Linked DNA regions of Macaca fascicularis. The protein of the gene in region 1 purifies or fractionates together with the protein of each later gene. This does not show direct contact. Links are inferred from orthologs where the notes say so. Each region holds a gene or a part of one and is shown on either strand. Other genes may lie near its edges.

Region 1 (4,857 bases):
GGTCATGCCACCGCACTCCAGCCTGGATGACAGAGTAAGACTCCATCTCAAAAAAAAAAAAAGCAAACTTTCAGCCCCAGTTTACCAATCAGAAAGCTGAGAATGGTTTAACAAGCTCTCCAGGTGATTCTAATACACCCTAAAGTTGGAGAACCACCTTGATAATGGAAAGCAAAGAAGACTTTGGCATAGACAACCAACACACTTGAGCCAACCTTGAGATCCTCTGCCATCTATAAATCACTTTCGCAGTCCCTTCCAGGCTAGATGCTAAATCGGTTGCAATCTGGTAATGCACAAGGATGAGACACAAGTTGTATCTTGTCTCCATAATAAGTAAATTGTAAGAACTTCAAAGGCAGGGCTGATTCTACTTTTGGTCTTTTTCCCATTCTTCTCAAATTTCAGATGTCAGTGCAACACGTAGAAAATACAAGTACTGAAATTTAAGTAGCTCTTTAGGAAATAAGAAGAATTAACCTGGTGCAAGGGTTCTACCTTTATGAGGGAGAAATTGGAAAGCATACATGTACTTACAAATTTTCATAGTTTTTCTTATTGTTCTAAAATATACATAAAACGTAGCATTTTAACCCTTTAAAATGATGTACAGGTCAGCAGCATTAAATACGTTCACATTGTTCTGCAACCATCACCTCTATCCATTTACAGAATTTTTGCATCTTCCCAAATCGAAACTCCGTACCCATTAATTAATTGGTGCACTTTGCCTTGTTTTTTCTAATAGGATTTTTCTTTCCATTGATTTGTATGAGCTCATTGTAAACTAGAGAGACCAGCCCTTTGTCTTCTGCCAATTTATTTTTTTATTAATTCTATTCATTGGCGATTTTAAAAATTCTGTTCAGAAAATTAAAAATTTTCCGTGGAATCATAAAATCGTGTTTAGAATTATACTATGAAATCCTTTATGACTTGAGTGTTGCTATCTTGAAAACTTTCATCATCTCAACGTTATGAATATCTGCACTTACATTTTCTTCTAAGTTTTTGTTAACATTTCAATATTTAATCCACAAAGGTTTCACTTACATGTGTTTTCCCCAAATGGGTAATCAGCTCTTCAAACATTATTTACTGGACAGGCCATCCTTCCCCTACTAACGTAAATGTCATCTTTTCATACTAAATTTCTCCATACACTGGTCTTTACTCCTACATCTTCCATCAGTGCTTTTGAGAATTTTGAACACTCTTCCATCACACGCATGTACCATCATTTATTTAATTTATCTCCTATTAGTAGGCATTTGGGACGTTTCCTGCTCTTCCATACTAAACAACGCATATAATTTTGGACTACATTAAACAATTCTCTGCCTCAGTGGTTCAAGTTGGGTAAATTATGCGTTTACACTTTTCTTCGGATTACTTTTAAAATGACAACCACTATGTTTTCCTGGTCTCAATTATCAGAGAATTGGCAAGAAACCTGACAGCTGGGGCTTAGGATTCCCCGCGCCAGACCTCTGAGCTACACCAGGAGGCGCAGTTTCCCTACTCGGCCTCGGCCACATCCGGGTTCCACCGCAGATTCGGGCAGGGAGCAGGCGGAACCTTTCTACCGCGTCTCTAGCTAACACGGCGGGGACAGTTTAGGCCTCCGCGCACCGTTCTCCGGGAGTCTTGCAGTTCGCTTGGTGCAGGGAAGGCGGGCGCGGAGGTTCTATCTGCTTCTTCCTCCTTCGTGAGCAGCATGGACGTGCTAGCGGAGGAGTTTGGGAACCTGACTCCGGAGCAGCTGGCTGCGCCGATCCCGACTGTAGAGGTGAGTGCCAGGCACTCATGGAGCGTCAGGGGCCTGGATGCGCCCTGAGGGGGCGTTGCCGGGAGTGCCGGGCCGCTAAGGGGCGGGCTGGAGGTTTGTGCGCATGCGCCGGGCATCTGCGCATGCTCAGAGCGTCGCGCGTGCCAGTCTTTTTCCAGAGCCGGCATCCGCGTGCGCGAGTGAAGGCTGAGCCCAGAGGAGCTGTCAGCCGCTGCAGGGGTCGAGAAGCCCCGCGGCTGGCTCTCGGGTTGGAGCTCTTCCGGCATAGGTGTGCGTGGGGAGGACTGGCCCTCGCACTTACTGTGGGGGACGTATTGCATGTTTGCAGTCTTACAAAGGACACTGGGGGCCAGGGAGCTCAGGCTGCTTGCATGAAGCACCGCAGCTGGCTGTGGGGGTAAAACCAGATCGTCTGAATTCCAAGCTAGTCATCTTGCCTTTTAACCTGAAGTTCAAGTTTGGGTTGCAGGGGAATTTTAAACGCCCTGAATATTTACTAAAGAATTTGCCTGTGTGTTTTCTCAGGGAGAGAGTCCATAGCTTTCATCAGATTCTCAGAAGTTAAGGACAGCTGTCTCACAGCGAGCTGCCCAATGAAGTATGGCTGTCGACATGTTTTGTTATCTGATAAGGCACATATCATAACCTCTCTGAGCCTCAAAATCTACACTGACGTGGAATAGGGAAGTGGAGACGTGGCCGGAGACGATAGCAAAGGAGAGATTTCAGGGAGAGAGAATAAGATACTTGAAACCTCCTCGGCAAGACCATTGGATGTTTTTGAGGAAGGAAAGTAAATCCAGTAGTATTCGAGTGAAGAAAAATAGAGGAGGAGAGATAAAAGACAGGGTTAAGTAAGGGTCTTGATTATGAAAAGTTTCAATAAACATCTGACAGAGCTTGGACTTTGTCTTGGAGCAGAGCTTTTGAAGGGTTTAAGCAGGAAAGTGATATAATGAGTAAATCTGTCGGATTATAGGAACCTCCTTGGCTAGGCGTGATGACTCACTCCGGTAATACCAGCAGTTTGGGAGGCCAAGGCGAGCGGATCACTTGGGCTCAAGAGTTTGAGACCAGCGTGGGCGACATGGCAAAACGCTATCTCTGCAAAAAATACAAGAATTAGCCGTGTGTGGTGCTGTGCACTTGTTGTCCCGGCAACTCAGGAGGCCGAGGTGGGAGGATCACTTGAGCCTGGAAGGTCGAGGCAGCAGTGAGCTGTGATTGTGCTACTGCACTCCAGCCTGGGTGACTGAATGAGACCTTGTCTTGAGGAAAAGAAAACAAAACCTCTTTATAATAATTTGACAAGTTAAGGAAATTGGATTAGCAGTTCGTCAGATTCAGTCTATGAGTGCATGCAATAGGCTGCTGATCTTCATCAGGTAAAACTGTGTGTGTGTGTGTGTTTTTTTTTTTTTTTGAGGTGGAGTCTCGCTCTGTCACCCAAGCTGGAGTGCTGTGGCGCGATCTCAGCTCACTGCAAGCTCCGCCTCCCAGGTTCACGCCATTCTCCTGCCTCAGCCTCCCGAGTAGCTGGGATTACAGATGCCCGCCATCATCCCCAGCTAATTTTTGTATTTTTAGTAGAGAAGGGGTTTCACTGTGTTAGCCAGGCTGGTCTCGAACTCCTAACCTCGTGATCCGCTACCTCGGCCTCCCAAAGTGCTGGGATTACAGGCGTGAGCCACCGCGCCCCGCTGCAAAACTGTATTTTAACCATGAAAAGTAAATATCAAGGAGCCAGCATTCCCTGAGCACTTGCTAATGTACCAGGCTCTGTTTAACCATAACATGCGTTATGTTATTTAATCCTCTGAAATAAGTGCTATTTTCACCCCCATTTTGCCAGAGAGGCCCAGAGATGTGAAGTAAATAGCCTTGCATTAGAAGGCTGGTAAGTGGCTAATCTGACTCTTGTCAGTCTGACTCTAGTCTTCATCCCTAACTGCTGATCGGATTGCTTCTCCAGAGAGCTGAAAAAATAAGCCTGGGAGAGTTCTATGTATTGTGTGAATTTACACAGCTATGAAGTGATCAGTGCTATAATTCCAGCCTTCTGATTCAAGAATAACAGTTCCTCTTCCTGCTCTCTGGATCCAGTCCACCATCACCTCTAAAAAGTCTTGAGTTCTTAATCTATGCTTATCTGAAACTTCATTCCCACTGTTTTCCAGCCCAGAACCACTCTCCTCTCTTACGTCCTAACTCTCCTACCTGGCACCTGACTTGTCCCAATCCAGTCTGTTCCTTGCTCTGCAGCCAGAGCTGTCCATCTAAACACACAAACATGGTTATGTTGCTCCCTTGGTTAAAATTCTTCAATCTCTGTTGCTTTTAGGGCAAAATCTAGTGTTTACCATGTTTGTAATAAATTTCCTCAGTCTGACCAGTAGTTACTTCTCTAGCGTCTTTTCCCATGATTCTCCCCTCTCCCTCCCTTGAGATCTTTCTACTCTGCTCGTACAATTCCTTCTGGATCACTCTCCCATTCCTATTTGTAGATTAAATCCCACATATCTATGATACAACTTCCCTAGGAAGGCCTTTCCTGAGTCTCCTAGAAGATGGTAGATCTCTACTACTTGCTGCCATTTCCTTTTAAATTGAGATATTAAAATATTTACTTAAACTTTCCAACTTCAGTGTTTTCTCTAAAACTTTTTCTAGATAAGAGCTCAGTTTTACTTGAACTGGCCATGCCTGGTGTGTATTTTTTTGTGCTTATGGTAGTACAGCAGCATGGTAGTATGGTAGAAATAACACAAGCTTTGGAGCCAATTAATCAGTTATTTGTTGAATAAATATTTATCAGTATTACTGAGTACTTACCTGGTGGTGTATTATTCACAGGGTTTATATAAGTTCAAAAAATGTGTCTTCTGCCTCCCAGTGTGTTATAGGCTTATAGAGAGAGACATGTAAGCAGGTGGAATAACATGCAATAGGTACTGTGATACAAGTAGGCGAGGGGTGTATTGGTATTACAAATGTAGCTGGGATGTGATGCCTGAACTGAGTTTGCCAGATGTGGATGAAGTGTGGTGGTGGGGAAGCATTCCAGATAG
Region 2 (4,838 bases), on another chromosome or scaffold:
AAGCCTCCGGGCCCCCACCCACTCCCCAGGGCCCACCCTGCTAACATCCCGGACCCCCCTTCCTCCCTCACCTCCACAGCCACCAGCAGCCTCTGCAGCTGAGCCTGGCTCTGACCCCAGGCCACCGTTACTCACGGCCCCTGTCCTGCCCCTCTGCCAGAGCAGGATGTGCGTCCACTCATCCTGGGGGGAGGGGGTCAGGGAAGGGAAGTGGCCTCCGCTCGTGGCTCTGCACGTGGCTGGGTGGGGTATGACAAATGCCACTGGGGAAGCTGCCCAGGGCCCTGGCCAGGTTGGGAGCAGAAATCCCAAGTGTGCAGTGGATCTGGCCAGCACCACTCTGGATCCAGAAAACCCTTCATCCTCCTCCCCTGCAACTAAGGCAGACCCAGCATTGCCCTGAGAAAGCGGCAGCTGATGCCTGGAACCCAGCACAGGTCCCACCCCAGCTGGAAGCCCCAGCCCAGAGCCCCCCCATGGGTGCCACTTTGCAGCCCACCCACCCCCCCACAGCCTACCTGGCACCTCCAAGGAGTCTTCTTTGCCTCCTACTGCACACCGACCCCCCATTTCCTCACCCCCACCCTAGGGGCACAGCAAGGAGGGTGCTGGTGCCAGCCCCCCCGCACTCCATCCGAGAGACACGGGCTCCCCCTCCCTCGTCCTCCGTAGGCCCTGAGCTCCAGGGCAAGGCAGAGCTGCGGCCTTCAGCGGGTCCTGCCAGTGCAGCCTCCGGGAGTCTGCCCAGGGGTCCCCTGTGCCGCGGTCTTCAAGGTTCAATTCAAAGAGCACCTCTTCCACGACGCCCTCCCCGACCTCCCTCCCGGGCCCCCTCTCCCCGTGCTCAGAGGCGCGTCTCAGCGTCGGGACGGCCAGCAGCCCAGCAGAGCCGGGACCGGGGAGGGCGCACCCCGACCCCCTTCCTGGGAAGGAGCGGAAAGAACGCGGACAGGAGGCCGGGGCGGGGAGCAGCCGGCGGGGGCCGTAACTGCGCGGCCGAGGCCAGGACGGCGCTCCTAGGGGCTGGGCCGCGTCCAGAATGGGACCCCCGAACTCGGCGCCGAGAGCCCCGGACACCCCGCGAGTAGAGGCGGAGGCGGAGGGACCCACTACCCGGCGGGGCCAAGAGGGGCAGCAGGAAGACCCGCCCCGGTCCGCGCCCGCCCTCTCCCCAAGCCCCCGCGCCGGACCCCACTTGTTGCTGCGTGTCGGCTCTAGGCTCGAACTCGCGCGCCCCGCTCGCGTCCGGCTCCAGCCGCTCCCGGTCGGACACCTCGGGCCGCGAGACCCTGGCCGCACGCCCCCACGACCCCCCGGGCGCTCTACCTGCGCCGCCGCCTCCCGCTCGCTTCGTCCGCTCCCTCCGCGCAGCTGTCAGTCAAGCGGACACGAGAAACGCGAACCGCCACCGCGGCTTTCGGCCCTGCTCAGACGCCGTAGCTCCGGGACGCACCAAGATGGTGGGCGGGGGTGTGTCGTCTGTTGCTGCCGCGGCCGTGCAGGCCCAGGAGCCCCGGGCCGCATGGGGAATCCCCATGGCGGCGGAAATTGCGGCCAGCTGCGCCGGGGCCAGTGTATGAACGGCTGGGGCAGCGGAGAACGAGCGGAGCCGGTCCCCCCGCGATAGTGGACGCGCCCGGGGCGGGGCCTGGGGGGAGTGCTTCCCGTGCGGCCGGACCGGGCCGGGCAGTCTGGGACGCGCCGCCGCCATGATCATTCCTGTACGGTGTTTCACTTGCGGCAAGATCGTCGGCAACAAGTGGGAGGCCTACCTGGGGCTGCTGCAGGCCGAGTACACTGAGGGGTGAGGCGCGGGCTGGGGCCGGGGCTGGGGGCTGAGTCCGCCCTGGGGTGCGGGCCGGGGCGGGAGGCGCAGCGCTGCCTGGGGCCGGCGCTCCATGAGCAGCTTCATACCCGGCCACTCCGGCCCAGCTCTGTGATCTGCTTTCGGGAGAACATTGTCCCCTGAAGTCTGGGGAGAGAGCGGAGTTGGGCTTCAAACCAGTGGTGTCCTGGGGATTCTAGGTGGCCTGGCGGGTGGCAGGCGTCTTGTCACCCGCAGTAAAGCCCTTGGTCTCCGTCCTAATCTCTCGTCTCTGCTCCCAGACCCACCCCATGTCCTGCAAACCTCGCTGCAGGACAGGCGGGCGCGGCGGCTCACGCCTGTAATCCCAGAAGTTTGGGAGGCCGAGGCGAGAGGCTTGCTTGAGCCCAGGAGGTCGAGACCAGCCTGGACAACCTGGGGAGACCCTGATCTCCAGAAATTTTTTCTTTTTTTTTTTTGGGGGGGACGGAGTCTCGCTCTGTCGCCCAGGCTGGAGTGCAGCGGCGCGATCTCGGCTCAGTGCAACCTCTGCTTCCTGGGCTCCAGGAATTCTCCCCAGTCGCCGGGACTACAGGCGTGTCCACGCCCGGCTAATTTTTGTATTTTTAGTAGAGATAGGAGTTCGCCATGTTGGCCAGGCTGGTCTCGAACTCCTGACCTCAGGTGATCCACCTGCCTCGGCCTCCTGGAGTGCTGAGATGACAGGTGTGAGCCACCGCCCCTGGCCCTCTTATCTTTTTAATTCCCCGGACTTGGTGGTGCACACCTGTGGTCCCAGCTACTTGGAAGGCTGAGGCGAGAGAATCGCTTGAGGCTGGGAGGCAGGTGAAGATTTCAGTGAGCCGAGATCACGCCACTGCACTCCAGCCTGGATGAGAGAGTGAAACTCCGTGTCACGCACACACACACACACACACAGAAAAAGAAATGCAGGGCAGACTTGCTGACCACCCTCATCATCGGGCTTTGTGGGGGAGGCATCCTTCTCCTGTGCTTGTCCCTCAGTGCTGCTGTCACCACCGTGCCTGAGTCTTGGTGCCCCTGCTGGAGTCTGACCCTTGCCTGCTGAGTCCTGGTCACATGTGAAACCCCAGGCTCGTGTGTGCCAGCCTGCCATAGGCTCTCAGTGCAGCTTGCTGGACGAATGAGTAAAGCGAGTGGGCTGCCAGAGTGAGTGGCTGGTGGCCTGTCCAGACCCTTTCCCAGGGATATGAACTGCAGGGGCCTCCCATGTGGCCTCCCCTTTCCCAAGCTTCTCTCTCTGCACATTGGAGCCATCAGTGTGGGAGTTTTCTGGAAGTATTGATGGTGACTGGACCTTGGTCCCAGGGAAATTAAAGCTTCTAATTGGCTTGGGAAATGGGAGAGGTGGCTCCCTGGAGAAGCAGTCTCTCCCTGATTGAAGGAAGCAGAGGTGAGAAAAGACGCCACAGTGGCAGAGTAGGGCTTGCTCTGGGGTGGGGGATGAACCAGCTAAGGGCAGGCCCCTGGAGAGCTACCCTGCTGTGGCTGGTGCGGGATGAGGGGAGCTGCGCATCAGGACCTCGGTGGCCTTGGTTTTCTATGCTCCCCCAATTACCTCTAGTTTTCGTTTCATTTATATTTCTTACATATGTTAGACACACATATGTACAGCCAGAGTAGGTGGGAGAGAAGGCTCCTCACGCTCCACCCAGGGATCTGGGCATTGCCAGGTTACTCCAGCCAGGATCATACCGCTAGGTCTCTACTTCTCATCCAGGTGAATGTGTTCGCCTTGCCGGTAGCAGGGGAGTGAGGCCAGCAGGCAGTGAGAGGCGGCCTGGATGTGGGCTCCAGGCCTGTGCAGACCGTGGAGAACTCAGCTGGCCTCTCTGTTCCTCCCCTCGCTTGACACAGGGATGCGCTGGACGCCCTGGGCCTGAAGCGCTACTGCTGCCGCCGGATGCTGCTGGCCCACGTGGACCTGATCGAGAAGCTGCTCAATTATGCACCCCTGGAGAAGTGACCAGGCTGGAATCCGCCTACCTGCCATGCTGACCATGGGCCATGAGCATCCTGCCCCAAGTTCACAAGGCTGAGGCATCCAGGAGCTGGCGCAATGCCTCGCCACAGCGTGTGTGTGTCCCATCCCCCACTCTGGAAGGAACAATCCAGTAAAGGTCTTTCAGAACTACCAAGGTCCCAGCCCTCACTAGGATGTCAGGGGCCAGGACTAGGCCCAGCTTTCACCGCGGCAGCCCAGGGAAGCCGACTGGGCCATGAATTCTCCTAGCCCTGGGGCCAGCCTGTTCCACAGGTACCCCTGCAGGAGGTGCTGCCAGGAGAGCCTTCCATCTCAGGGCTGAGGTTCCCTCCTTCTGGGTGCTCTTCAGACTGAGCAGAGGCTCCTGTACTCTCTCTCTTGGAATCTGAAGAGCCAGATTTAGGCCAGGCACGGTGGCTCACCCCTATAATCCCAGCACTTTGGGAGGCCAAGGCGGGTGGATCACGAGGTCAGGAGATTGAGGCCATGCTGGCTAACACGGTGAAACCCCGTCTCTACTAAACATACAAAACAAAAAAAACAGCCAGGCGAGGTGCCGGGCGCCTGTAGTCCCAGCTACTCGGGAGGCTGAGGCAGGAGAACTGCTTGAACCCGGGAGGGGGAGCTTGCAGTGAGCCGAGATTGCGCCACTCACTCCAGCCTGGGTGACAGTGAGACTCCATCTCAAAAAAAAAGAAAAAAAAGAACCAGATCGTCTGGGGCCCAGTCTTTGCTATGGTCACGGATGCCAGCACCTGCTGGCCCCTGCCCACTGCTGCCTGTCCCTGAGGGTCCCACCCGAGTCTAGCAGGGAGGGCAGGCCTTAAGACACCCCTAGCTGGCTTGGGAGGCGGCCCTAAGGAGGCCCTGCTGTCCAGGCAGTGCTGCCAGCAAGCACCCCAGGTCAGATGGCCCTGCTGCTGAGATACCTGGCGTGGTGCCCTCTGGTGGGGGAGAATGGGTCTGCCTGAGGGTCTTCAGTTCTGAGCCTTAGGGACAGGAGCCTGG

What was found. Proteins that work in one complex are often made in the same cells at the same time.
Region 2: the proteins of POLR3B (region 1) and POLR2L purify together in Homo sapiens (affinity purification with mass spectrometry; 5 studies listed by BioGRID and IntAct, with this or other methods). This does not show direct contact. The link is inferred for Macaca fascicularis from reciprocal best matches to the Homo sapiens genes POLR3B and POLR2L.

Annotation. Positions count from the first base shown.
Region 1 is NC_088385.1:113,277,700-113,282,556, forward strand, and holds the start of POLR3B (DNA-directed RNA polymerase III subunit RPC2), read left to right. Parts: upstream 1-1,642; 5' UTR 1,643-1,717; coding exon 1,718-1,789; intron 1,790-1,945; exon of another isoform or gene 1,946-2,057; intron 2,058-4,857. UniProt on the Homo sapiens protein: Catalytic core component of RNA polymerase III (Pol III), a DNA-dependent RNA polymerase which synthesizes small non-coding RNAs using the four ribonucleoside triphosphates as substrates.
Region 2 is NC_088388.1:742,141-746,978, reverse strand, and holds POLR2L (DNA-directed RNA polymerases I, II, and III subunit RPABC5), read left to right. Parts: upstream 1-1,688; 5' UTR 1,689-1,709; coding exon 1,710-1,804; intron 1,805-3,703; coding exon 3,704-3,812; 3' UTR 3,813-3,980; downstream 3,981-4,838. Other genes in the region: TSPAN4 (tetraspanin-4), read right to left, coding at 1-47. UniProt on the Homo sapiens protein: DNA-dependent RNA polymerase catalyzes the transcription of DNA into RNA using the four ribonucleoside triphosphates as substrates.